Linked DNA regions of Drosophila melanogaster. The protein of the gene in region 1 purifies or fractionates together with the protein of each later gene. This does not show direct contact. Each region holds a gene or a part of one and is shown on either strand. Other genes may lie near its edges.

Evidence for each region.
Region 2: the proteins of CG5157 (region 1) and CG14259 purify together in Drosophila melanogaster (affinity purification with mass spectrometry, with the first as the bait; one large-scale study listed by BioGRID). This does not show direct contact.

The regions. Positions count from the first base shown.
Region 1 is NT_037436.4:16,132,523-16,143,749, reverse strand, and holds CG5157 (uncharacterized protein), read left to right. Parts: upstream 1-5,870; 5' UTR 5,871-6,688; coding exon 6,689-7,048; 3' UTR 7,049-7,263; downstream 7,264-11,227. Other genes in the region: CG32152 (uncharacterized protein), read left to right, coding at 1-1,548; CG5151 (uncharacterized protein), read left to right, coding at 1,622-1,710, 1,835-2,423, 2,486-3,289; elg1 (enhanced level of genomic instability 1), read right to left, coding at 7,284-7,554, 7,964-10,456, 10,512-11,227.
Region 2 is NT_033777.3:27,089,794-27,101,017, forward strand, and holds CG14259 (uncharacterized protein), read left to right. Parts: upstream 1-4,739; 5' UTR 4,740-4,859; coding exon 4,860-4,986; intron 4,987-5,045; coding exon 5,046-5,295; intron 5,296-5,419; coding exon 5,420-5,553; intron 5,554-5,622; coding exon 5,623-5,981; 3' UTR 5,982-6,063; downstream 6,064-11,224. Other genes in the region: Cpr97Eb (cuticular protein 97Eb), read right to left, coding at 118-813, 1,187-1,198; CG14258 (uncharacterized protein), read left to right, coding at 3,386-3,470, 3,542-3,788, 3,843-3,976, 4,033-4,343; eater, read right to left, coding at 6,131-6,186, 6,242-9,141, 9,540-9,706, 9,766-9,867.

The DNA.
Region 1 (11,227 bases):
AAGAAACCTGTAAAACTAAGTCTGGCCGAGTTTCACAATCAGCTGGATGAAATGCAAACTGCAAAGACTTGTGAAAAGACGAGCGCGGAGAACTGGAAACATTTTTTCTCGAATGGCAGTGGAATAGCCAATGGAACTCGTGGTCGTGGCGTTTGTTGTGAAAAGCTTTCAATAGTTGACCAAATCGAGGGACGTGCTATAGTTCAGAATGGAGCGACTACCAAAGCGAGAGGGATATTTGAAAGTACATTGAATAGTGTGGCAGAGCGAAAGAAACATTCAGAAAAGTTGGATAATTCCAAGAGTGCAAATCAAACCGTAAAACCCGAAAATAGCGATATCAAAATATCATTACTGCAGAGACCTAATCCCCAGGATGCTACCCAAGCACGGAGCAAAACGCGAGTTCGATCCGCTGGCCGAATTCCCGCGCCGCCAAGAAAGGTGCCCAAAGAACTGGAGGATCTGGATCGCATGACTTCAGCGGATTTCCGACACGATACCGCCGCTCGTCTGGATGTAATGCGAAACCGGCAGAAGGATCAGGCACACATGTACTTCTTTCAATCTGTCATCCATCACCAACGGCATCTCATCAAGGATCGCACAATCCTGGTACTCTGCTGTGGCACTGGAACACTGGCCCTTATGGCAGCCCAAATGGGAGCAAAAAGGGTGTACGCCGTGGACTACTCCAAGGTGACTGGCTATACAACCTTGGTGGTGCGGCAAAATGGCTATGAAGGTGTGATCACGGTCATGAATGGTCGCATGAAGGATCTTAAACTCCCGACGAAAGTAGATGGCATCATATGCAACTGGATGGGTTACTGTTTGCTCTACGAATCGGAGATATTGGAGGTGCTCGAGGCGCGTGATCGCTGGCTAAAGAAAGGCGGCTTTATTCTACCCGATCTGGCAGCTCTTTATCTGGTTGCATCCGAGGAACACAAACTGAAGAGCGAAAGATGCAATCATTGGCGCAATGTCTACGGATTTAATATGAATGCCATACGTCGATATGCGCTGGCTGAACCTTGTGTGGCCCTAACGACCGGCAAAAAACTTCTGACGATGGCTCATTGCGTTCTCAGACTAGATTTGAAAAGAGCCAGAAGAGAGGATCTGTTTATAGATCGAAACATTAGACTAAGTGTCAATAGAGAGGGATATCTCGAGTGCTTTCTTCTCTTTTTCGAAGTGCAGTTTAGTAATAGCTTAAACTTTAAGCTGAGCTGTAATCCCTGCTTAAAGTCGCCTTTCAAATCGCTTTGGATGCAATCGGTACTCTTTGTGGAGCAGCCCTTTGTAATGCGAAAAAATATTCACTACACGGGTAACCTGAAGTTCAAGACACTAAAACCGAATAAATTCAACGAAATGGAGATATGTATTGAGTTTTACGAGGGTAGAGAGTACGATTACGATTTGGTCATGTGCACCCTTCGGGTGGCCAAAAGATGGCTCATGCTGGAGGGCTTTCAGACTTTGAGTGATGTGGAGAGCTGTCAGGACGAGCAGGGGGAGACTGGTGGCCTGTACCTTTAGGTCTCTCTCAATATATATTATTGTTAAGCCCTTCAGTTGACTTTATGCTAATTGTGGTTTCACTTTATTACAGATGCTATCGGTACAGACGGCCGGCTGCGCGGGAATGGAGCGGCTCGGCGTTCCGACCCGCACATCTTTGAGCACACCACCCGATGATAGGTATGTCGAAGTCGAAGTACTCCCTATTGCAAAGCAGAAAATTCTTATAATAGCTTAAATGAAATCCTTTCTAATACCTATATACATACAAATCCATGCTAATTTAATTTCACTTTAATTGTAGGGATCAATTTAGATGTAGAATGCGCGTGGATGCGCTCCAGGCACGTGAGCTTCTGGCTGTACGTGGCGAGACTGTGATTCGCGGCGCCGGCAACAATCAGCATCAGCAGCAACACCATCTCCATCACAGCAGCAGTAGCAGCAACAAGCAACAACATTCCCACCACCAGCAACAACGCATGACAACTCCAAGCACGCACAACTCCAGTGGCGGCAGCGGCGGAGGAGGAGGAGCAGCAGCAGGCGGTGACCACCAACACCACCATCAGCAACACCAGCTGGGCAACAGCAGCAGCAGCAACAACAACAATAGTATTAGCAGTAATGTGGCGCGCGGCGGCATAGAAGCCACCACGCTGAAGTACGGAAACACGGGCAGCGGGAGCGGTAGTGGTTGCTACAAGGGCGACTGCGGCAACTCCTCAACCGGATCCTCGTGCAGTTCGCTGCAGAGCCATAGCAACGACCACCACCAACATTACCAGTACCAGCTGCAGCAGCAGCAAACTCCCCGCTGTCCCCATCACGTACCACTGCCGGACAGCGAGTACGGACAAGATCGACACCTGCAGATCAGGAGCAGCTATCAGGTAGGTTACCTTAAATACACCTTACAGCCATATACTAACTAATCGGCTTTGATCCCAAACAGCAATCGGAGATCACCAGATCATACACGAAGCCGCCGCCCAACAAGACAGTGCGGGATGTGCCCGAGCAGATCTCGGCGGGCGGCTGTGGCGTCTCCAGCTCCAGCTACCGTCTCACCACGCTCCAGGCCGCCTCCTCAACGTACACGCCAGCGGGCGTGTCAGTGTCCGCCTCCTCATCGTCCAGCAAATCGAAGCCGAATGCCATAACCAAGTTCTTCTCGCGGATCAGTTCGCCCAAGTCGCCGCCGAGCTGTACAATGACCTCGGTCGCCACAGCTTCCCCAGCATCCTCCGTCTCCATGTCGTCGTCCGCCTCCTCGCTTGCTTCCTCCGCCTGTGTGTCCACCTCGTCGTCAGCCTCCTCACTGGCTGCTGCGCCTACGCTGCCGGTGTCCAATGCATCCCTGTTGAAAAGCACGGCCTGTGGCTATGGCACAAATCCCAGCGGGATCTATGCAGGCCTGGGACCGAGCACGCAACTGCTTACGAGCCTGGGAACCGGAACAAGCGGCAACTGCAGTCCCGAACGGATACCCACACCACCGTTGTCCGTCTCCGTGCCAATCGGAGCTGGCCTACAGCCGCTGAGAAGTAGCAGCAGCGGGAGTAGCAGCAGTACCGCCAGCCTAGCCGCCGTCGAGACAACCACAACTACAGCCACCACTCAGTCTTCCTTTGCCGCCGGAGCGACGGGGGATCTCCCGCTGACCACGATGAGCCGCAATAATTCCAACTCTAGCATGATGAGCTACCACTGCAGCTGCAATGGCCGAAATTGCAGCCACTGTGCGGCCAACTCATAACTGAGCTCGTGTTAAGTTTAACTACATTAAACAAATCTGGTGGTGCGGAAACCACTGGAGATTTTAGAACATTAGTTAAGTTTCAACAGTTCACTAGCCGATTTGAACTTCTCAAACCGTAAGACTTTGCATGGTATTTGATCATAATTTGTAAACTTACCGCAGGTCTTGTGTCTAAAAAGCTTTACTTGAGGTAAAATATTGCCAAATTTAGTGAAATACTTATCTTTTGTTGTCGAATCTCCAGAGATTTGTGCGGCACCTCCAATATATATATATACATATATATATATATATATATACATATATTTTTTTTATGTTAGCCTATGTTTATCTATTATGTTAAAGTTTAACAGATTTATTTAATGTAGGTCTGTCGCCAACTTTTGCGCTGGTACGAAAAGACTGTTTATTAGTCAGAATTTAATTTGTAAATTTGAGTAACGAGAGGAAAGAAAAGTTAGAGAATGATACGGAGAAGACATATGTATAGTTGCGCTGCCGCCTTTTAAGCACTCACCACAGACCGTAGAAGGTTCATTTTTAAGTTATGTAACATTATTTCCATTCGTCGCTTGATAAAAGTAATAAGTCGAGAACGTTTTTGTAAAAACCAAGAAAGCAACAAACTTGAAAGAGACAGACACAATACCATAAAAACTGAAGAAAGGGAATGAGGAAAGTAAATAACAACACATAAGTGAATATGTAATTGTAATTTTATGAATGAATATTGTATACACTTTAGTTTCAATAACTCTAGTTTTAAATCGAAGCCAACCAACTCTTAACTATACTCTATCCCCCACCCCCACCCCCCTATCCAAATCCCCTTATCCCCTATTATTATTGTACGCAAGGCCCATGTGCTGGAACACACGAAAACACACACAAACAAACAATTTTTAGTTCAATTGAAATTTGTATTTGTATATTTGCTAACGGAATTACGATGTAAAGAAAAAAAAAAACAAAAAATGAAATGAAATCTATGTAAACCAAATTGTAGAGAAATTATTGTTTTCATTTTAAATTGGCTGCAGCTAATCTTGATTTCGGATTTTAGCGGGATACATTTTGAATTTTAAATTTAAAACGTAACGATCGATGAAACTGAAGTTATCGATAACCAATTGCAGTCTGGCAACAACGGGCGATCGTGCATTTTCAAGTGTAACTCTGGTCGAGTTTTGGCGGTTTATTTAAAATTAGATTGGCATTATATTTTTACGTTCTGAGTTTAGGAAAATCAAAGAGTTAAGAAAAAGTCCCATTGCAATGTATATTATAAGCACAATTAAGCAACTCAGAGCTTTTATTGTTTAGATATCCAGCCTTATTTATTAGTCTATAATTTCACGAATTTCTGAAATTCCAAAAATGCGTAATTTTTCAAACAACCCGTGCACCTTGTTGCCCCAAACATTTTATATTGAAATTATCAAAGAGAAGGAAAAACAAAAAATGGTTTCAAGAACTCACGATCCATTAAATCAAGTTTAAAACACATTTAACCAACAATTTAGATGAGAAATGGAATGCGAGAAACTAGGAAAATATGATAACAAATGCAAAATAATGGAAAACGAAAACACTTTACTACGCCAACAAGTCCTACAAGCCTACATTTTAAATACATAACGATATAGTTCGATGTCTATGGATCAAAGAATACTTAAAGTAATGCAACCGGAAATAGCCCGAAATATCACAGAACGAAGAGAAAACCGGAGACAATGAATAACTAAATTAAACGCGTAGAATTTAATCACTTAATTAGTTCTAAACAAATTAAGTCCAGCTAAATATCGAAGCGATTAAACTCGTTTGATCGGAGAATCATATACACATTTATACAAACAGGCCTAATTTCAACTACCTCCAAAACTGTTTTTTAAATTAAAAATTAAATTCTAAACGAAGATCAAGTCTACGAATTATGTTTAGCGAAACTAAACGGAAACTAAGTAAATCAAATGAAATGAAACAAATCGATTAAATTATAGTAAATCAATTGATTGAATTACGATTTTTTTAAATTCAAGCAGATCGATTAATTCAATAAATCAACAATCATTGACAAGTAATTAATTTTACACTTTATATATACGATATTTATTACTATATTGTATCTGTACGTTTAGATCGAGAATACAAATGAAAGCGCACACGAGCTGCGTTTCGAAAATGCAAAACCGTCGACTGATATATATAAATATATATATAACAAAAGCTAAATAAATAAAGTAAATAACAAGAAAAGTATAGAGATTCATTTGTAAATACACCGAATGCAGGACAATGCGCTGCGGAGCATTATGTTAATGTAACCACACCCAATCCCAAACAGTTTCTCAACAACTTTTCGAAACCATCCGAGATCAAAATCATCCCATCTACCATCTCCCACTTCCCAGAAAATCGAATTTGATTTTTGATCCCTGCAGGCAAAGTGCACCCAATACTAGCGAAATTTTTTAAAGCGCATTATGCAAAACGTCTAATATACAAAAATCGGAATAAAAATCGATATATATCTAAATACATATATATATTAATTGAATACCAATTATTGTTGTTGTCTCATATAAAACGCAAAAGCATTAAAAGCAAAAAAACAAAAATGGGAAAAATGAAAGCAAATTTAAAATATATTTCCAAAATATATAGAACATAACTATGAAAACATAAAAACCGTTTTTTCTTTAAGCAACCAAATTTGTTGTCAACTGGAAACTTTTAGCTTTGATTGGCACTTGACACACATTATTGCATTTTGGGTTTGACTGATTGTACGATATGAACCCTGCAATGTTCCAGTTATCAATAAATGGTGTCGAAGTTAATGGACATAACTAACTCAAAGAAAATTCCCACCATAAATTACTCAACGGGAAGTGTTCAAGTGAATCATAAACTGTGCTTAGATTTCACCAACGATAGAAACCCACTCAATGACAACTCGCGCCATCCATTTGCATTAATGATTTGCACAAATCCCACCCAAAAAAAGGAGATTGGTCACTGCCCACACTAGTAGCAGGTCGCCTTGAAAGACGGTGAAATTCTCACGTATTTCTTATCAACCACAATGCAGACAGATTGTGGAAATAACTGAAATAAAACAGCAAATAGTAATTGCCCGTCGAGGGGGAAATGGGGGAGAACAGGTACAAGGCAAGTACAAGCGATCTAGGCGATTGTTTGAACTATTGATAAATGTTAAACATAAGCAAGGGTCGCCCCTTGGCACGCGTCCAGTGTTTCCGAGTCCGTCCAACGGTTAACAGCTCCTAAAATTATCGAATCAAGAGCGCGACTTATTAAACGCAAATTAACAGCAGCCATTAAAAGACATTCGCGAACAGCGGAAAGCAATTAGGAAATCAAATCAGCAATATGTCACAGTTGTACGAACTCTCGGAGGTGGCCCAGCAGAACGGCAAGAATGGCAAACCCTGCTGGCTGATCATCAAGGGGAACGTGTACGATGTAACCAAGTTCCTCGGCGAGCATCCTGGCGGCAGTGAAGCACTACTCGAATATGGCGGCAAGGATGCCACCAAGGCCTTCAAGCAGGCAGGCCATTCCTCCGACGCAGAAAAGGATCTAAAGAACTACAAAATCGGAGAAATCAACTCAGCTGCACCCATTCAAGTGCAGCCAACGTCCAATGGTGCAGCAAAGCCGACGGCAAACACAATATCCGAAGATCCCGAACCCGCGAAGAATAGCTCCTCCGGTTTCTGTTGCTGCTAGTCATAGGTTTACATGTCATTTGATTGATTTATTAACATAGGATGAGGTCGTAGTTAGTTTATCATAGTTAAATTGTAAATAGTTCTAGGTTTATCTCATAATAGCTACATCTTCATGTCCACAAAGCTATCTTAAAAAAGATCAACTCTTCTTAAACGATCTGAATAAATTGCAAACAAAGCCGGCGGAGCTGCTCCACCAATTTCAAAAAAATTAAACTAAATCCAAACGATGCCTAATCTTTCGGTTCGGCCTCCATGGTTGGCTCGCTGCTGGGGGCAGCCGATTGGAACGTACTGCATGCAGTGTCAAAGTAATCCGTCGTGAAACTGGTCACGTTTACCGTGTGGTTGCGCAGATAGTGATAGAATCTACTCGACTTCCGTTCCAGTCCTGCCCGTTCCTTTTCGCTGCGGCATATGGAGCGCAGGGCGGGCTCGAAGTCCAGCGATTTGGCGGAGTCGGAACGGAGAACTCCGTTGCCCAGGTGCTGGCAAATTGAAAACCTGGAAAGATTACAGAAAGTTATAAAAAATGAAAAAATTAAAGCATAACTAAAATAAGTTTGGTATCTAATTAGTGAAAAGTCTGGGCACTAATTTAATGAATAGGTGTGTTCCTAAGATAGTTATAAGATCGGTCATTTTTATGACAAGGCTATTAGAATTCCGAACGCTAAAGATATCTTGTGACTAGTTGTTATTATGACTGCTGGATGATAACAAAACCCCGGTTTCCTTTTTCCATCGATTACTGCCATGACAGCTAATTAAGTTAGCATTATTAAGCCTTAAAATGTGTTTAAAGCAAAATAGATATAGATACAGATAGATATTGTTAATAAAGATCTTTTGATATTAAAGTGTTTATATATTGGCTTAGTTAAAGAGTAACTCATCATTTTGAAAATCTTACCTCTGAACCGGCTTATCAAATAGATTGTAGGGGCACTCCTTGGTCGCGAGTCCAGTTTGGAGAGCCTGCTCCACCAGCAGGTGACCGATTTCTTCGGACAGGTGCCACTGCAAGCGATCACTGCAGTCGGAGTCCATCAACGAAGCCACCGAAATGTTGTCATAGAAGGATGCCAATGTGGCGAGCGATGAGCTGTGCCCATCGGACTTCTGCCCAGTGGCGCTGCTCAGCCAGGCCTTCTTTGGTGAGCGGGACTTCCGCTTGGCAGCGGTTCTACTTCCACCGCCCGCTGCCTGCTGCTCCTTTAGCATCGCCGAACTAGCCATAAGATCGGGGAGATTCAAACGCAAGAGGCTGAAGTCAACGGGAAAGGGTATTCGATACTGGACATTCTGCGGGCTTGTAAAGAACTCAAAGAATCTCTGATGGATTCGACTGCCATCGACGGTGGCCAGCCGGCTATTTGAGGTTTTGGTTGGTGATTTAATCCCACCGCCAGTCCTATCGCGAGTTGAATCTCCACCACTCTGAATGTAGAACTGAAGTTCCATCAACGTCTTGCGCAGATTCTGTTGATTGTATAGATACACGGATATCAATTCGTCCAACTCGATGGGACAGTTTTCCATTAGCGATAAAACGGCCAAGAATCGGGAGATGTTCAATGCGTTCGGAGCTTGGAAATGGATTATATTCTGCTGCATTAGGCGCTGCAAGTGCGCGCAATTCGGATCCGTGGCAACCACAATGACCGGCCTCTTGGAACTGGCGGCCAATGTATAAATGGCATCCGTAAATCCAGCGTCCAAGTTATCAAACAAGATATCCGCATCCTCGATTAGGATCAGAGACTTCCGTACTTCGGAAGGAGGTTCCACTGCGGCTGCTTTTGCTTTTAATCCACTCTTTTGCAACTTTTGAAGCAACTGCTGTGAGGATCCTCCACCCGCTTTACCATCTTTCCTTATCTGATGCGACTGCGTGGCCTCTTGAAGTTCCTGTATCAGCTTCTTGCCCGTCCTCTTCATCCCTGCATTTATCTCCAAGACATTAAAGTTCATGTCGTTGGCTAAGGTAAAAACGGCATTGGTCTTCCCGCTGGATGAAGGTCCGACCAGAACCATCGTGTTGCTACTTGAGCCCATTGATGCCGAATCATTGCTCATGTCAAAGGTGTCATCCATGCCCTGCGAGTTTCGATTGCTACCTCCATTGCCACTCCAGCTGGACAGGAACTCCCTAAGCTCCTGCACTGGCGTCAGATTCACCAGAACCTGTTCGAACAGCAGCGGTTTGTACTTCTCCGTAAAGAGCAGCTCGCCATTCGGAGCGGAAGGCGGTGGTTTCGCCTCCTCTTCGTTCTGTGCCATATTCTGCTCCATTGAACGGCGAGTGCGACGTGTTACCACCAGTGATTCTCCCATTTGCTGCGTATCCTGTGCACTGTCAATGGCGCTGAAGTGGCGATACTTCTCCCTCATCTGGTTATAGCACTTAAAGGTGGGAAACCGATCGAAATCATTCTTCCAGAGCTTCACAAAGCCACGTTTATTTTCCAGCTGTGGCAAAGTTGCATAGTTGAACTTGTTCAAAGTTTTGCTGGATGTAAAATCCGCGGGCAGACAGCTGGTGATGCTACTCGCTTTGGCACGTCGTTTGTTGGCGGGTAACGCTTTCGTAACCTCGGAATATTCCTCTTCTGCCCTCAGAGCAAAGGGAATGTCCAGAGGACCGTTTTTTGAACCGAAGCTCTCGCAGCCTATATGCGCCAGTCTGGGAAACACTTCATAGCTATCTTCGTACATCTGGTCGAAGTTCTTTTGACGGATCTGCTCCTGTCGAATTTTGTCCGGAACTCCGGATTGCAGAAACGCCTGTCGAGCCTTCAAAACCGACGGATCTGGGCTGGGCTTTGGCAATTGACGGACGAATAGCGGCGCTAGTTTCTTTGGTGTGGCAGCTGGATTACTATTGTCTAGGTCAATAATCTCTACAGACTCGTCTGCCTTTTGGGGCTTCGCCTTTTGTTGCTTGCCGGGACTCGTTTCCAGATCGTAATCGTAGCGCGCTTTGCCCACACACGATCGTCTTGGTCTTGACGAGGGAGTGGATTCGGCTACAATGGGTGTCTCTTGCTGGCTCTTTCTGCGCAGTGTTCTTCGCTTGGGTGTCTCCATGGGTGGGGTTTCTATCGCAATGATCACCTTTTCAGCTAACTCCTTCGGGGATTCCACTTTGGGAAAGTAGCCCAGCAGGCTGTCACGCTTTTTCGTGGGCGACGAAAGCTTCGAGAGAAGCTCCTCTGTTCCTGGATCTTGATCTTTTGCTTTCACGACCGGGGGCTTCGATTCCACAATTTGGTTCTGTGCATCCATGGAACTGATTCGTCGAGAGCGCGGTCGACCTCTTAGACGCTTGACTGTTGGATCCGTGGGTGCCGAGGATGGAGCCGTCACCTCTTTGGCGTCAGTCTTGGTCAGCATTTTTCGCAGTCTAGGGAAATAAAATGTTGTATAGCGCTCTGAATCTAATTCTTAATCAAACTCACCTCTTTGCCCTTTGCTCCATCTGCAGCTCAATGAACTCCCCGCGAGCTTCGTCCGCTAGTCTTCTCTTGGCTCCCCCCTTGCGTTCGTTCCATTCTTGGAGGAGAAGCTTCCGTTTGGTGGTCGGCGTTGCTGCCTCACTGCCGATTTCTTGATCCGCGGGAGATTCTGCCCCACCTTCATTAACCCCCAGAGAGCGATTCCGAGCATTCATCATGAACTCAAAGACATTGGTGGTTGGCTTCGGTTTGGCTGTGCTCACCGGAGAAACACCCACGTTCTCCGGCTTTCCCGCCTTGGCGAAGTGCTTCATGATGCTCTGATTGTCGGCCACCGGAGTGCTGGACTTCAGCGGACTGGACCGCCGCCGACCGTTCTTGAGACCGTTTTCTTGGGAGGATTTCTCGCGAAGTGGCTGCGGTTTCTCTTTGGCATTCGCCTTGACCTCCTCGGTGGTGCTCTTCTGGTCCTCCATGAGTGCTGCGCGGCGCTTCTCCTCCCGCTTTCGCTTGTGCTTCTCCCGATGCTTCTGCTTCACCGAGTTCAGCACTTCCTCCATGTTCTGGAGTATCAGTTTGGATTTGGCGCTGGGCGGTGCTCTCAGAACGAACGGAGATGTGGGCTCGACGGGATCCGTGGCCGCATTTTTGGAGGGAGTTCCTGGTGGACTCGCAGTGGTCGTTGTGGGTGCAATGTGCTCACTTGTAAGACAATTTAC
Region 2 (11,224 bases), on another chromosome or scaffold:
GTGTGCGGAGTGACTGATTTATTTGGCAGTAACAAGTTGACATTGTCCTCGGACACTTCAGTCCCTGACTCTCTGGCCCAACTCAGAGGTGATCCCCCCATCAAAAGGTCCTCCTTCCTACTTCCGGCCCGTATAGTCGATGCTATAGGAACCGGTGTAGAGGTTGAGATTTCGCAGGGAGGGATGATGTTGCTCCGGCAACCCCCTGTATGGCTGTTGCTGCTGGGGATTATAGTAGTTCTGGGCCGGAGGCTGGTAGTAACGGGGCTGCGGAGCCGGGGGATTGTAGTATTGGGGTGTGGGATTGTAGTAGGGCGTTTGTGGGGCGGGCTGCCGAGGTGGCGGGGCATACGCCTGCTGCTGGCCGCGGCCGAAATCGTTCAGACTGAATTTACTGGCCGGTGAAAGGGGGCGATTGAACTTCTGGTCCTTGTAGTACACCGAGGGGTCCTCACGATACTGGCCATCGTCCAATTCGTTGGGTCCCAATGGATAGGGATTGCTGTTGGTCAGCGTAGGTGGTGGCACATTGATGTGACTGCCAGCGGGCTCAAAGCCACGCTTACTGGCTCCATACTCTATTTCCCGCACTTTTCCCTGGTCATCCACATAACCGTACTTTCCATAGACCTCTCCATTCGCGTACTTGGTTTCGATCTTGAAGCTCTTATCGGCCGCTTCGTATCCATATGTGTAGGAACCATCGTCGTTGTGCTTGTCGATCTGCTTGAGAATGGGCACCGGTGTGGTGTAGTCCTGGTGTTGCGCATACGCACTGTGGGCCGCCAGAAGCAGAAGACCCAAGCTCAAGGTCTGCAAATTGAAAAACAAAGAGTTGAGTGAAAAAGTGACTCAAATCGTTTGTATCATTAAATCACCATTTCGGTCACACCCATCTGTAAAGTCAGCAATTATACATGAACTTTGCCTTTATTGCCTTACTTTTGGCTAAATACCTTAATTAGCTGCTCTGATTATCAGTTCACAAACATTCACTCAAGGACATGGCTGAGTAATGAACCACCAATTAAGTTACTCTTTATCATAGACACCGATCTGATCAAACCGGTTGGCTAAATTGCATTCTAAAAATTCACTGCGCATATTCTGAAAACACCTTTTGCATACCGATATGAATATCGAGCTTTGGAGATGTAACACTATAAACCACCTTGCTGAATCTTACCAATTTCAACATGCTGCCAAGCTTAGAACCAATTGTCAATGTCGAACCGTTTTCACCAATCTCCCAAAGTAGTTATGCACTGCGAAAATGGAAAATGTGTTCTGCACTTGCACTCGAGACTCTGCGAATCGAAACGACAAACTCAAAAGAAAATCAGGGCGTGCAACGCTTTTTATACCGCAGTCAACATTTCGCAAAAGCGGGCCAAGAGGGGAAAAAACCATGGCAGAAACTAAAGCTTCAAGCCGAAGTCTCTGGATCTGGCGATCAGCTGCGATCAGAAAACGAAAACGAATACGTTAACCGAGGCCCGAGCTCCCGATCCGATCCGAGAACCGATTCGACTTGGCTTGGAATGCAGCATAGAAATCGAAAGCGGTCGTCGGCCAGCTGTACTTACGTCCGATCGATATGCCCACTCACTCACCTCTACAGGTAATTCACTTACCAGCAGCAAGCCGACGCGCAGCAATTTCCAATCAGGTTGTTAATGTCGTCTACTCGAATTCTTGGCCAGCAATTTATGCTTCCAGACCGCAACACTCACGCATACGCAATGAGATCAGAGCAGCAACAGTGATGAGAACTAGGTACACTTGGTACACTTACACTCCATATCCTACTCATATTGGCACACTCTAGTTTGAGGTACAAAGTGCGATGTAAAATAGTTTTCAAGTGCCATCTAAAAACTTTTACAATTCACATCGATTTATCAGGTGTTAGTTATCTTTAAAGTTTATTTCATAGACACAATTAAAAAGTACCTTTGGCATCACTGAAATCTACAATCCAGAAAAGAATAAAATGCCAGTACTGCGAGGTGCGGAAGTGTTGCACTTGCTAAGCATTCCAATTATGCAAGTCAATTCCCCCCCACCTGCTAATCGATTGCAAATACCTGTCCAAACACCTTGCTCCCAGTTAAGTGCACTGGCCAATGGCAATCTGCATCCACAACATGCAATTTGACAGCTTATTTAGCCATTTCTCTTAGCCTGTCAAAACTCACACTTGAAGCTAGGAAAAGAAAGCAATACAAAAACTTATATGCTGGCATACTGACCTAGTCAATGCTTTGGCTAAAGAAACAGGTTGCTGAAATTACGTCATAGATAGGCAGAAAAAAATGTGATGGTTTGACTAGATCTCTGGAGATTTCTAGAATTTAAATTAGTTTATATGATGTTTTCTTTTTATTTCACAAACAACCAGTTAAGTAGGATCCAATTTATATAAAATAAATTGCCAAAATCCCCAAGCCACATTCAAAACAAACACAGTTGTCAACCTACATTATAATACTGAATTTATTCCATTTATTTCGGGGGATTTGCATTCATCTATCTGAAATCACATTCTACACTGTGCAAAATACACCAAATAACAAGTCATATAGCATATTCATCAAATAATAATGCAGAACCACAGATTTTCAGGTCTCACTGTGGCAAAGAATAAAAATGTATGCGTATTTAAAATAAGAAAATTCCCATGATACATAATTCATAATTAGTTGTTTTCTGTGTAGGTACTTATGTCAAAACCACAAGTTCGTTAACCCAAGAACCGCAGACCTTGGTCATGGTTGCATGCAGATAAATACATTCGCTTGGCTTCTTTTCCTCACTTGAGTATGCATATATGCAAAGATAGTTTGCTAGAATTGTCGCCTATAATTAATTGGAATATATATTCTTAAGAGAGATCTACTAAACTAAATAAATCCGTCAGCATTACAGTCGTCGCATCTTAATGATCTTGTAGAACCAGTTCGGCTCCAGCGAAAGTGAGATAGAATATATAGAATAGAATATATGTCTAAGTATCTAGATATATGTATTATGACAGTACTTTACAACTGGAAATGGAGTCGCCGGCGAGGCAAAGGCTAAGTAATATTATAAAAATTAATGCATTTTCGAGCTAGGGTATCGCATCAGATGAATCGAAAGATTTGGGCACCCTGTACGACCACAACAAGTCTAATGCGGCCAAACTCGTTTACTTACTAATTGTACCGAAATAAATAAAATAAATATATATAAATCGGCAAAACAAAGAAATGATTTTAAAAGTTATACATTCGAGCGGTCCATTTCGAATAAAATTACCGGCGGCCAGACAGAATCGTCATTTCAATCAGAGCATTCAAAGAAAACGGTTCTAGTCATCACATTTTGGAATAAAATTATCAAGATGCTTATTAAAGTTGCCAAGTTCCTGAGTATTGTAGCCGTACTCCTTTCAGCAGTCGAAGGAGCTAAATATCTGGCAGAGAAACGTAATAAACATTTAATACAACATATTTTGGTTGAGTTAAGTTAATAATATTCTTAAATGTACAACTTTCAGCCGACTTCCTAATCCCATGTATCGTGGGCGATCCCAACTTTAATGTCTGTCTGACCAAAAACTTCCAGAGTTTCTTCCGTCAGTGGAAGGACGGAATTCCCGGCTACAATGCCGTGGGATCCTTTGATCCTTTTTACATCAAGAGAGTGAAATTTACCCAGGATGCCAGCAGGTCTATAGCTATCAATGCCGATCTGAAGGAAGTCTATGTAGCAGGTGCTGGTCAAGCATTAGTCTTGGAATCCAGGTAACCTATTTAAAGATTCTGACGAAATCAAGTTTGACCATTAAAAATTCTCAGCTGGGATCCAAATCACTATGTAGCCAGGACTTTGATTTCCGTGCCCAAGTTGCGTTTCAATTTCGATTACAAAGTCAAAGGACACGTCTCAGCGCTGAATCTCAATGGTCATGGCAAGGGATACTTCGAAGCTGGTAAGATGCAATCTACAATTTATGCGAATTACTATCTTAAAGCCGGTTTTATTCAGAAAATGCTCTGTTATTGTTGGAATTGGCTGTCAAACCGCTGGCCACCTCAGATGGTTATTTCGCTGATGTGCAAAGTGTAAAGGTAAATTTCCGCGAGATCAAGCAATTCCGCATCAAGCTGGAAAATCTCTTTGGCGGCAACAAGGATCTGGAGGATACTGCACACATTTTGTTCAACGAAAACTGGCGCGACTTCTTTGAGGTACTGCGTCCGGCGGTGGAGCAAACAGTTGGCGGAGTGCTTTTGGATCGGTTCAAGAAGACCTTTGTCTATGTACCAGCTACCTATTTGATTAAAGACTTTCACTAAATGCTAAATTAGCATATAATCCGGTACTTCTATGTTATTTTAATGGGTTCGTGTGCTCTGTCGTTTTGTATTAAATGGGTAGTAGTGTATGCTTGATTTATTTTTTGGTGGCACTGTATTAGAATTATATTACAAATTATTTTCATATCTTTGCATTCAAAGTGCTTCTATTATATTTTCATCTTTAGATACTTTTCTCACTGTATACTCGCTATTAAGTCAGGAAATAGGTGAATTAAAATGATATTATATTCAGCAACATGAGTTGCTCTTGGCCCCGGCATCGTTAGGTTGCTGTAAGTCGTTACCATATATGAGAACCCAAATCTCGAATCTTGGCAGTTGAGAATAAAACGCCGGATCACAGCAAGTCGCCGGCTAGTCGGTTTCAAAGCGTGACACTGTTTGATGTGACTGAGCAGCGGCTGCCTAGACCGCGATACGTCTACAGTACTATTCGCTGAGCTACTTAGATACTTAACTACTTGATTAATAAACAGTTGCCAAAACGACACCATGAGCAGCACGCGCTACGGCCGCACTTTGCTCGGCATTTGGAGTGGATTATTGGCCATTTTGTGCCTGAATGAAATCGCCATGGATAGGTCGTTGGTTTCAGCCGTTGCCTACTACTCCGAAAAACGTAAGTAGATGTCCTCAGAGTCGCAGTTCTTTTCAATGTTAGCAAATCGTGTTGCTCAGCTGCCTTTCTGCCATCTTGTCGGATCTACGAACCGGGCTTCACCAAGTGCTCTACGAATAGCATTCAGAAGCTTCTTGATCAGTTGAACATTGGAATACCAGAGGTGCTCGAGCGGTTCGGTCCCTTTGATCCCATGAGAGTTAGGGATATAGTTTTCAAGCAGGATAACAACGAGGTGGCCACCATCAGAGCCAATCTGACTGACCTGGTGGTCAAGGGTTTTGCCAACACAAAGGTCAAGGAGAGTCGGTGAGTACAAAGAATATGAAAGTCCTACAGATAAATTATGTATATTTATACTGCTGCTTTTGGAGTCAATAAATCTCTGCAACTTTGCGGAACAAATATATAAATATCTTTTTTCGACCACCAGTGTGAGCAAGAAAGACTTTAGCTGGCAGACCAAAATATATCTTCCGAAAATGAGACTGGATGGAAGGTATGAAATGGCTGGACGAATACTCCTTATACCACTGAGTGGCTCTGGCAAAATATTTATTGAGATTGGTAATTAGATTTCTATCGATATTTAAATGCGGGTGCAAATGGGCAGCTAACACTTTTAAATTCCCGCAGATGATCTTGACATTTTGCTACTAACAAAAATACGTCTGTATGAAAAGGGTGGCTTCACCTTCGACAACGTGACCGCTGTGCAGGTTCAACTGAATCTGTCCAAAGTGCGCACTTATCTGGACAATCTATTCAATGGACGTAGCAAGGAGGTGGAGCGCAGTACGAATGAGTTTTTCAATGAAAACTGGCGGGATTTCTACGAGGCCCTGAAACCACTCATCGTTGAGACGGTGGAAAATATCCTTTATGATGTAATGTCTACGGTTTTTCATTTAATACCAGCCAACTTTTTCGTTGAGGACATACCAACGCCCCAGCAACTTTATGGTCCAAAGGAGATACTTGGCAAAAAAGAATAGTTGAGTGATATCTATTATTGTTAACTTGTAGTACGCCATCCCCAAATTCTTTCAATATTTGTAATAAAAATCATTAACGAATATCCATTTTTCATTTTATCAGTAACTTTTATTGTATAATGAGAATATTGCTGACTTCCCGCTAAAGCTCAGGCTCGAATGATATCAACCTTATTGGGAGAGAAATATACACCGAACTCCCTCTCTGAAAACGAGAAAAATCATTAAGTTATTCAAAAACTGTTTGAAACATGGCTTACCATTCTTGTCCACGTGATATGAGCGTTTCCTAAATATATAAATAATCAGCATGGTGGTTATTATTGCCAAGATGAAGGCCATAGAAACAATCGTTATAAATACCCACTTCAAGTGTCTTTCACTCTTTTCATGGCCTGTAAGGGACCCAAGTGAATCCATAGATTGGCATGAGTATCCATCTATCGGACTCTCACCATCCCAGCAGACACAAGAACCCGGAAATTCGCAGAGCCCATTGAGGCACTCGGGTTCGCAAATCGGAAGACAGATCAAATTGTTGTCGTCCTCATTCCTATGCAGCTTATATTGTTTACTACAAGTACAAATTCCTTCGACGCAGGTTCCATTTCGGCAGTTCTTATCACAATCTGAATAATCCCCAAGTAGCTCCTTGTCAAGCTGGCAACTTTTACTTTCTTCAACGAAAATGTAACCGTCATCGCACTTGCAAAAATCTGGAGAAACGCAAAGCCCGTTGACACACCCGTCCTTACAAAAAGGTGCACAACTGATTTCCGTTTCCTTGCTGTATCCTTCATCACAGGAACACTTTCCTGGTGCAACACAGAATCCGTTCTTGCATCCACCTGAACAAACTGGAGAACATCTGTTTTCACTGTCCATTTCATATCCATCATTGCAGGAACACTTTTCTGGTGCATCACAAAATCCGTTCTCACATCCTTTTGAGCAAATTGGTTTGCAACTGTTTCCTGTTTCCCTGCTGTATCCTTCATCACAGGAACACTTTCCTGGTGCAATACAGAATCCGTTCTTGCATCCACCTGAGCAAACTGGAGAACATCTGTTTTCACCGTCCATTTCATATCCATCATTGCAGGAACACTTTTCTGGTGCTTCACAAAATCCGTTCTCACATCCTTTTGAGCAAATTGGTTTGCAACTGTTTCCTGTTTCCTTGCTGTATCCTTCATCACAGGAACACTTTCCTGGGGCAACGCAGAATCCGTTCTTGCATCCACCTGAGCAAACTGGAGAACATCTGTTTTCACTGTCCATTTCATATCCATCATTGCAGGAACACTTTTCTGGTGCATCACAGAATCCGTTCTCACATCCTTTTGAGCAAATTGGTTTGCAACTGTTTCCTGTTTCCTTGCTGTATCCTTCATCACAGGAACACTTTCCTGGTGCAATACAGAATCCGTTCTTGCATCCACCTGAGCAAACTGGAGAACATCTGTTTTCACTGTCCATTTCATATCCATCATTGCAGGAACACTTTTCTGGTGCATCACAAAATCCGTTCTCACATCCTTTTGAGCAAATTGGTTTGCAACTGTTTCCTGTTTCCTTGCTGTATCCTTCATCACAGGAACACTTTCCTGGGGCAACGCAGAATCCGTTCTTGCATCCACCTGAGCAAACTGGAGAACATCTGTTTTCACCGTCCATTTCATATCCATCATTGCAGGAACACTTTTCTGGTGCATCACAGAATCCGTTCTCACATCCATTTGAGCAAATTGGTTTACAACTGTTTCCTGTTTCCTTGCTGTATCCTTCATCACAGGAACACTTTTCTGGGGCAACACAGAATCCGTTCTTGCATCCACCTGAGCAAACTGGAGAACATCTGTTTTCACCGTCCATTTCATATCCATCATTGCAGGAACACTTTTCTGGTGCATCACAGAATCCGTTCTCACATCCTTTTGAGCAAATTGGTTTGCAACTGTTTCCTGTTTCCTTGCTGTATCCTTCATCACAGGAACACTTTCCTGGTGCAACACAGAATCCGTTCTTGCATCCACCTGAGCAAACTGGAGAACATCTGTTTTCACTGTCCATTTCATATCCATCATTGCAGGAACACTTTTCTGGTGCATCACAAAATCCGTTCTCACATCCTTTTGAGCAAATTGGTTTGCAACTGTTTCCTGTTTCCTTGCTGTATCCTTCATCACAGGAACACTTTCCTGGGGCAACGCAGAATCCGTTCTTGCATCCACCTGAGCAAACTGGAGAACATCTGTTTTCACCGTCCATTTCATATCCATCATTGCAGGAACACTTTTCTGGTGCATCACAAAATCCGTTCTCACATCCTTTTGAGCAAATTGGTTTACAACTGTTTCCTGTTCCCTTGATGTATCCTTCATCACAGGAACACTTTCCTGGGGCAACACAGAATCCGTTCTTGCACCCACCTGAGCAAACTGGAGAACATCTGTTTTCACTGTCCATTTCATATCCATCATTGCAGGAACACTTTTCTGGAGAAGCACAGAATCCGTTCACGCATCCATCCTTGCAAACAGGAGTGCAGACACCTTCCAGCTTCGTGTACCCGGCGTTGCAGGAGCACTCGTTGGGCGCCACGCAGACTCCGTTCTGGCAACCCTCGGGACAAACGGCCAAGCAGACATTGTGCCCTATTTTCGTATATCCCGTCAGGCATTGACAGACGTCCGGGGCAGTGCAGTTTCCATTCACGCATCCGTTTTCGCAGATTGGAACGCAGTTTCCATCGATGTCCTTTTCGTAGAATTTGTTGCACTCACATTTGTCGGGAGCCCGGCAAACTCCGTTGCTACAGCCATTTTTGCATTTCGGCTGACACTCAAACGATTTGGACTTTGGCTTGGGAATGAAACCTGGATTGCACTCGCAGCGATTCGGAGCCGCGCAGAAGCCATTGACTGCCGCGCAGTTATCCTTGCACGTTGGCAGACACACCTGGGTGGTTGGATTCAGCTTGTATCCTTTGTTGCAACTACAATTGTTGGGCGTTATGCAAGTCCCATTGGGACAACCACTAGCACATTGGGGTATGCAGTTGTTTGTCGTTTTGTCCAGCAGATGGCGCGCGGAACAGATACAGCGGCCAGGAGATTGGCAGGTTCCTCGACTACATCCCTTGCAGTAGGGCACACATCTGTACGAAATAGAGAAAAGCAAATGTCATAAATCAATGGACATAAATCGATGCATTTAAGGCAATCTTTTAAGTTTTCATTTTGGCAAACTTTTTATCTCGTATGTGAATTTTGCAATTTAAAATGACCGTTTATGACCTCCTAATCAACATTCATTTCCTTCTTTTTAATGGGACGATATTTGTATTTTACCGAGTTATTATCATGCATTTTATTTGAACACACAAATGAATTAAAATGAATGAAGCTGGCGTTGGAAATACTATCCTACGACTTGACGATTATATATTCAGAGAACCTATTTATACACTGATACATTAAGTAATACAAACTGTCCCGATTAAATATTGATTATATATACAAATTGAGTCTTATTCTTTTAGATCGTATTACCTACCGGTTAGATGGATCGTTATTTAAGTTGACATATCCTTTCTTGCAGGTACATACATTTGGTTTCGTGCAGAAGCCACTTCCACAATTAACTTTGCATTGTGCAAGACATCTGAGTGCGGAGCTCCTTACTTTTTTGTAACCCTTGCAGCAATCCCTCGTTTGAACGTTCTAAGCCCGTAAATTAATTAAATAATGAATTGAATTATTATTTTTGATGGACCGCCTACCACAGCAGTTCCTTTAATATTCCTAGTAACATTAACAGTGCAGATCTGAGCCGATACGAGTCCGAGGAGCAGGGAATATATGGTTATCCTACAAATCCACATGGTGTCTTTAAGTATACAACTGATCCCGGTGCCTTTCAAAATATTACTAAAGACGCTTGAGCTAAATATATTTTTGCAAATGCTTTTGCTTGAAACAAAACTTGCGGAGGGGACTTATCAGAGAACTCAATTCAAGCAAATCCCATGGAGATTTTTACCAAGCGGTTAGTGGAGCTAAATTGCTTATCGCAATTCTATTCTCCTTTATAAGAAGAATGAGAGAGGATCTCGCCCAGTCTGCCAAAGAGCAATAAACAAAGGAAAATTTGAAGGTCTTTCATTTGTTGTTACAAAAGTCATTACTCCAAATATTTATCATATTTAATTTCAATTTGTAAAACAAGACGCCACTTTTTGTGATAAATCAATTTTTACCATTATTAATATCAACATCTGTTCGCACTACATGCGTTTTAAAACTATTTAGCAGAATATAGGGTATGTATCAGTCGGACTAACCGACTATAGGGTATACATATCTGTATTTTACTATGTTAATCAAACTAGGCTTGTGTATAAGAACGAAATATGAGAGCATAAGAAAATGTAATGAATTGTAATTGTAATACGAGAATAAAAGTATACAACGATCAGCAGAGGTTAATATACTCTTGCATATGATCTATAAATACTGATGGATATCTATTATAACATTCGAACACATCTAATGCATTTTTTTAAGCTCAGAGAATCGTTAAAAACAGTCGGTGATTCTGATAAAAAAAATATACATTTAAGTTACGAACTTCTTATCAAAGTAATGATACCCTTCTTTAGGGTGTAAAGGGTGATTGGCTCTTTATAGAGGTTATGCTCGCAAATGTTAAATATAATATATATAAAATACTAGACCATGACATAATTCAACTATGTAGGACTAAAATTTATAGTTAGATGAGAGTCATGAAAATCTTTGTAAATAAATACCGGAACAATCCCTCTCTCACATTTTTTGTGACTTTATAACTATCTAACACCCACTCAATGGATACTCAGATACACACAGCAATCTCAAAAATATATGACATCATTCGAGCGATTTTTGAAGTTTGATCCATGTATTTATACTTATTGCAGTTATTAGATAAATAACACATTGTGTTCAATTTGAAAGATGCTCCATTTAATGTTTTTATTATGGCATCTAAACTTTTTATTGCACCTCAGTTCAAGCAATTAAGTTCTCCCAGATCAAAACAGAGCCGAATACAGAGATACAAACAGTGTTTCGTTCGTGCCATAGTTGTCAGCGTATTTTCCAGATAGATATTAAATTAGCTTACCGGTTCGGTTGCAAGGTAAAGTCGCTACAGTTTCAGAGTCGCATAACAACAGCAATGATAGTAGCTACACAGCG